Linked DNA regions of Tribolium castaneum. The protein of the gene in region 1 interacts with the protein of each later gene in a pairwise test. Links are inferred from orthologs where the notes say so. Each region holds a gene or a part of one and is shown in the gene's direction. Other genes may lie near its edges.

The links.
Region 2: the proteins of PCNA (region 1) and Set8 interact in a two-hybrid assay, tested with the Caenorhabditis elegans proteins (2 studies listed by BioGRID). The link is inferred for Tribolium castaneum from reciprocal best matches to the Caenorhabditis elegans genes pcn-1 and set-1.

The regions. Positions count from the first base shown.
Region 1 is NC_087396.1:13,479,236-13,482,292, reverse strand, and holds PCNA (proliferating cell nuclear antigen), read left to right. Parts: upstream 1-1,509; 5' UTR 1,510-1,633; coding exon 1,634-1,854; intron 1,855-1,905; coding exon 1,906-2,467; 3' UTR 2,468-2,557; downstream 2,558-3,057. Other genes in the region: cytochrome b-c1 complex subunit 7, read right to left, coding at 2,597-2,929. UniProt on the Caenorhabditis elegans protein: This protein is an auxiliary protein of DNA polymerase delta and is involved in the control of eukaryotic DNA replication by increasing the polymerase's processibility during elongation of the leading strand.
Region 2 is NC_087401.1:9,679,023-9,683,046, reverse strand, and holds the end of Set8 (histone-lysine N-methyltransferase Set8), read left to right. Parts: intron 1-2,719; coding exon 2,720-3,073; intron 3,074-3,122; coding exon 3,123-3,333; 3' UTR 3,334-3,509; downstream 3,510-4,024. UniProt on the Caenorhabditis elegans protein: Histone methyltransferase that specifically monomethylates 'Lys-20' of histone H4 (H4K20me1). H4K20me1 is enriched on hermaphrodite X chromosomes and during mitosis. Involved in dosage compensation by repression of X-linked gene expression in hermaphrodites.

The DNA.
Region 1 (3,057 bases):
GAACAGTAAAGGTTAAGAAGTGATAATTCCCTAGTAAATCACTGGCAACACGAGAATACAGCGCCTCTGGTGCTGAAGTGCGTTACTACCACGGTAAAGCGCCACGTTTGAATAAATTCCTTTTATATTCTGTTTTTTATTATTTTTATCTTACAAGTTTTATTGCAAATTGTTTAAAATAAAAAAAAATATTTTCATTTTAAACGAAATGAAAACATTTTATATTTATTTTAAACAAAATTTGCAATGAAACTTACAAAAAAAGTTGTTTTGGGGTAATAAAACACAGATTTTGTTAACATTTTTATTGTACACTTGAGTAACATAACAAATTAAATTTTTCAAAAAATTAAAGTATTGTATTATTTCTTAATTATACAAAAATTATCAAAAAATTAAATCAGTTAGTGTTGGCATGTTTTGCCTGTCTGCTCCAGACTTAAAACAAAATAAGGCCTTCTTTGCAATGACTTTTACCTTGTCTGTCAGCAAACAGTTGCCCACGCTACGACCACGAGGAGGTACATGCAGTGCACTGACACACTCGAGCGCAAATAAGAAACTTAAAAGTAAATTCTGAAATACCCTAAATCGAGAAAACGCCAAAATTTTGAACTTACAGGATCCTCAATTTTGCAGGCATTCCTCCACAATTCGTGAAGCTTTAGATTCTTAGGGAAGGTGAAGAAATGCTTGTTGGCATGTCCTTTGTTGGGAACATAACCACTGGTGCATCCGGGGTATTTGCAGGAATATTTGCGATAACCAGCCATGACTAAAGTTCGCTTGAGTAGTAGAAATCAAAAATCCGTCACTCCAGCCCAGAGACCAATGCCTTTAAAATAGAAAGAAACACCAATCAAAAAGATGAGGTTATATTAACAAAACAAGAGATACTTATCTTTTTGGTCGGCGCTCAACACCAGGAATTGACTCACTAACGAACTGTAATCAGAATTTTTGCTTTGATTAAACGATGAAACAAATAATTGCTACATACTTCCGGTAACACGTTGAACGATGAGTGACAAAACAACACTTTTGGCGCGATATTTTCGGCGCGATCTTTTTAGCGATCTGCGCGCAAGCGTAGATGTCATTGTTACGTCAAAAAATATAATTTAATGAAATCCCTAATAAATACGCGCTTGTTTTAAAATAAGCAGTCGTCATTGGTCGTCCCTTTTCATCTCCCCGGGAGTGCAAAACCCCCCTGGCCTATACTCTCGTGTTGCCAATGCGCGTATCCCACTTTCACCCCCATGACGACAACCACACAAAACAATTAGCCCCAAATTCAAACCCCCGTATTCCAGCTTTTTTATTTAACTAAAATAAGCCAATATAGGAGTATTACAGGACGCAAAACTTGTGTCACAACAAGTAACTATATTTAAAATAAATTTAGCACAATTACGTGGATTATTCACAATTTCTTGAAAGTCATGTGATCGGTATCAGCCAATCACGTTGCCTCAGCAGATCCACATTGACGAATTTGAAAATCCCCAAGAAATTGGCGCGCATTTACTGCAGTTTCCCTCGCATTTCCAGGAAGTTGTCGGCTCACTTGGTGCACTGCCCTTTGTGTTAATTCAGTTCTGTGTCGTTATTTTCTGTGTTAACCGGCAAAATGTTCGAAGCACGTTTGACGGCGAGTGCCACCTTCAAGAAAATCCTGGATGCCATCAAGGACCTTCTCAATGAAGCCTCCTTTGACTGCTCCGAGTCGGGGATCCAGCTCCAGGCCATGGACAATTCCCACGTCTCTCTGGTGTCCCTTATGTTGCGATCCGATGGTTTCGATAAATACAGATGCGACCGCAACTTAACAATGGGCATGAATCTGGCTAAGTAAGTAGCAAGCTTAAGCACCAATTGTCTTATTCATAATTTTTTCAACAGTATGGCAAAGATATTCAAATGTGCGAACAACGAAGACACGGTCACGATCAAGGCCCAGGACGATGCCGACATAGTCACCTTCATGTTCGAAGCCAAAAAGCAGGAGAAAATCTCCGATTACGAAATGAAACTCATGAATTTGGACCAGGAGCATCTGGGGATTCCTGAGACGGATTTCTCCTGCGTTATTCGCATGCCTTCTGGCGAGTTTGCCAGGATATGCAAGGATTTGGCCCAGTTTGGGGAATCCATCATGATTTCGTGCACGAAAGAAGGAGTTAAATTCTCCACTGGCGGCGATATTGGAACTGCGAACGTGAAAATCGCTCAAACTAACAACTTTGAGAAGGAAGAGGAGTCGGTAACGATCGAAATGCAGGAACCTGTGAGCCTAACTTTCGCCTGCCAGTATTTGAATTCCTTCACGAAAGCTACTCCTCTGGCGTCTCAGGTCCAGTTGTCCATGTCTGACAACGTCCCACTCGTGGTCGAGTACCAGATCCCCGATCTTGGACACCTTAGGTTTTACTTAGCTCCCAAAATTGAAGAGGATGAAAACTAGACTATTTAATTTGAGTCCAATATTCACGTTCTTACTCATTTGTTCACGTTCTGTATTTTTTAAACTAAAATAAAGTGCTACTTTTAATAATTTATTTTTTACAATTTACAACTACGAAACACCAAACTATTAATAATTTTTCTCCCATTCCTCGCGCTCTTCTCTCTCTTTGACCACTTGTTGTACGATTGGGGTCAGGTAAAGGCGGTCTTCTTCCAGTTTAGTCCATTGGTCTTTGGGGAGAATGTCTTTCTGGATTGACAATTGAACGGCTCGAAGGATGCGGTAATTGCGGGCGTCTACTTCTTGCTGTGGCAGTCTGCGAAGTGCTTCCTTTACATCGGCGGTTTCGTCCAAACAGTCGTCTCTCATGAGCCCCAATTTATTGAACCCGGAGATGCTGTACGCCCATTTTTGGAGCGCGCTGCTCATGAAACGTCTCTGAACGAACCCCAAAGACATGATGAGGACAACTAACAATGATAGTAATGAACAGAAATACAAAAAACGTTTTAAAAACAGTACTCGGCTATTAGGTAACAAGTCCTTTTTTATCAAACGTCAATTGAAAACAGTGACTTTCGTTTTGT
Region 2 (4,024 bases), on another chromosome or scaffold:
TTTGGGAGGGTTTTTGTCAGAAATGCGAAACATGCATGAGATTGCATGAGTATAAAAGCACATTTTGTTCTTGAAAATTTGTTAAACTGTACCGAGTGACTAAATAAATGAAATAAAAATAAAATAAAAAGACTTTATTTCCTTAGAATTTTTCACACTCTTTAGCCTGGAACTCTCAATTTTCTTATTTTCTTTAAAATGAGCCAAGAAAACAGTAAATTTGTTTACAATGGTAAGATTTTACTAAATCGGTCCGAAAATCTCTAAATTGCCTTAGAAAAAAAATTACATTATTTTTGCTTTATTCATGTTTTAGCATTTAGCACTACTATCAGCAGGAAACGCAGTTACTTAATTTCGTTAAAAACAAGCTGAAAATTTACCAGATTTAACTTAAATTGGTGTGTCTTGGATTTTTTGCATGTTTAGATAAATTTTTCGCTCAAAGTGGTTAAGAAATTGAAATTTTGATGGAGATAGATGTGATTTTTTTGTTTTACTGGATTTCCACTGAAATACGTGGATTTCGAACGATTTATTGTTTAAATAGTTGCTTTGAAATACCTCAAATATCTTTATTTTTATTGAAAACGACGGTTTTTGCATTAGTTTTTTTTTAATAGTTACATTTCCTTACTAAAACCCAGAGAAATTGCTCAATTGTTCAAATCACCTTACTTTAGTCTAACCGACGATTTTTGTTGATATAAGTTGATTTGTTGAACCAGAGAACACTTTTTTTTTGCAAAATATTGTCTAAAAATTACAGAAAATATCTAAATTCATTATATTTTGCTTGTTTTACTTGATTTTAAAAATTTTAAAAGTTTAACTTTTTTTTAAATGGTCTTAATTTTATTTTTTTTTGAGCCTTAAGGCATGATCTTAAATCTTAAATTTGGGTTTTTTGCGGAGATTTCACCTACTAAAACCTTCGGAAAAATCATCAAATAATATTATTTTTCGAACGTTTTAGTTCGATTTTATCATAAGCACGATTCTCGCGGAAAGTTTTGTTAAAAACGAGGAGAAAAATCAGCAAATTACGTCAAAAAAGTGTAATTTTTTCCTTGTCAATGTTGTAATTATATACTTAAAAAATAAAATACTCAGCTGAACACGTACCGTTCATTTATTAAATTAATAAAGGTAAAATAGGCCAAAAAACCACATATTTATCGAAAAATGAAATTATTTTTGCCTTTTTTGATTATTTACCGAATCAAAAGCCAATAAATAAAGTCGAAAATGTCAATTTTTCTATTTCCTTACAATATTCAAGCAAAACCTCAATTATTTCCTCTGAAATAAACAGCAAATCATTTTATAATGGTTAAGATTTCACCGGTCGAAAAAGCACTAAATTATATTGAAAATTAGATTATTTTTTCTTGTTTATTAGCAAAAAATCCAATTTTTTTTAATCATTCGTTTAGCTGTAATAACAAAGTTTAATTTTTTTAAATGAGAATCATAGTTGGCTATGACATTTTCGAAAAGCTTATTTTTTTCTGAACTCAAAACAATATAAATACAGTTTGATATTTTTAATATTTTTGATAAAAAATATATTTAAAATATTTGAAAGTAATTGGCCATGGAAAAATTATTTCACATAAAAGGTGTGAATAATCTAGAAATTTTGTGAACGGTTATTAAAGTAAAAAATGTGAAATTATAAAAATAAGCTAAGTTAAAGTTATTTTCAATTGAACAAATACGAGCGTCGCAGATTTTAATTACATGAAAATGTGCAGAAAATTGCAAACGATGTGTCACTACCATTTGATGACACTTTTTTATGATTTAATGAAGTTCAATGGAGGTGACGTTGGTAATGTTATGTATTTTTTACCGCAGATGGAATTTGATTTTGTTGTTTGGGTTGACATTTTTTTTGTAAAATAAAGTTTTATTGATACGCAATTTTACAATTAATAAGATTTTTCTTCTTCCGACATTTCATGTTTAAAACTGGAAAATAGAATGACAACGTAAGCTTGCCATTTTAAATATAAAAACAAATATTTTTTATTAAATGCACAAATTTGATCTAATAATAATTTATTATGCTGTTTTTGAATTAATTAGGGTTTAAAACATCATTAAATTATAAATACTTGTTGTGTAATACAATTTTCATAGTTTTAATTAAAAATCCAAAAAAATTTCATGGCCTACTATAAAGAAAAAGCGAAATGTTTTGTTTTTTCTTAAATATTTAAAATTAATGTATTACACAAATAGACATATCAAATCAGAAAAAAATAGGCTTTTCGAAAATGTCATAGCCAACTATGATTCCTATTTAAACAAATACAACTTTATGTTATTACAGTTAACCGAATGGTTGAAAAAAATCGCTTATAACATTATTAGATTCTCTGAAAAAAGTGCCTCTATAATGTCTTTGTTTCAAATGTGTATCTTTTATAATAAGGAAGATATGATTTTTTTTAAGATTTCGCTAAAATGTCAACTTCTGTTTATAAGTCGAAAACAAAAGACGATAGCGAGATGAGGTTTTGACCAAAATTATTTAACTTCTTAATTTCGAAGATCCCGTATTCGGACATTCAAAATGCAGCACCCTGTACTTAAAGCAAACGAATTATAGAGGTTTCACTGTATTTCAAATGAATTTTTATAAATATGTTCAATTGCAATCTCAATCTCATATTTCACATTTCTTTCACTTGTATTTTTTACTATATTAAAGGTTGAACTGTCAGCTGTCAACCGACCCCAAGGACAACAACCACAAGGTCACCGACTACTTTCCGGTGCGCCGTTCGGTTCGCAAAACGAAAAAGACGGTCATGGAAGAAAAACAAAGAACTTTAGAGGAGTTGTTACGAAACGGCGTTGAAGAAGGTCTCGAGGTCAGGATTTTCTCGGACAAAGGTCGCGGTGTGGTCACTTCGCGCCCTTTCACCAAAGGCGATTTCGTAGTTGAATACAGTGGCGACCTCATCGACATTAACGAAGCGAAAAGACGCGAATTGAAATACGCCCAAGATTTAAATACTGGGTGTTACATGTATTATTTTAAACATAACAATCAACAGTATTGGTAATTTGAAATAATTGCAATTAATTGTGTTTTAATTGTGATTTTTCAGTGTGGATGCGACCGCCGAAAGTGGTAAGTTGGGGAGATTGGTGAACCATTCGCGGAACGGTAATCTCATCACCAGGACCGTAGCGGTGGATAATAAGCCCCGGCTTGTACTTATTGCAAAGGATGATATCAAGGCCGGCGATGAGATTACTTACGATTACGGTGACAGATCGAAAGAATCGCTAAAGCATCATCCGTGGTTAGCCTATTAATTTATTTGTTTTTTTATTTATTATTTTTTCCTTTTTTTGTAATTGTCGGAAACGTGTAGAAAGGCACAGTTTGTTTTAAAGTGGTCACTGCCTTTTTTATCTTATTTTTTTGTGAATGTACTTGGATAGAAGCAACGGTTGACTAAAGATTAGATAATAAAAGATTTGTTTTGTGAGGAGTTTGCAATATAGCATCCTGTGGTCCTTGTCCTTGAAATTGGGGGGCAATTTCCCAACTATGAACCCCACGTTGGGCGCCTATTTAATCGCACGGTTGTTGTTTCAGAACGTTGCCAATGCAAAATGGAGGTGGTGGCACGTCGGGCGCCATTTTTTAGCTTGTTTGTAAGTTTACTGGGGTTTATTTTAAACGGCAATGCGTTGTTTTCGAAAAATGCGTGTACTCAACGTTGGGCGCCATTTTTTACTTGTTACATTTCTGTTTTGTCTAATCATGGACGAGTACAGGTAATTCCAAGTTGTACCATCTCCCAAAAAATAAATACCTTTCGTATTGGAGAACAATTTTTCCAGCGCAAGTGCGCAAGTGATAAAGTTTTAAAAGCGCTGTACTACACATCCATATTAGGAAATTATAAATGCGTTCTAATTCTCTAGGTTTTTGCAGTTTTATTGAATATCTTAGATTAGTTGTAGCATTATAATTAAAAAAAAATCGCGTATTAAATTT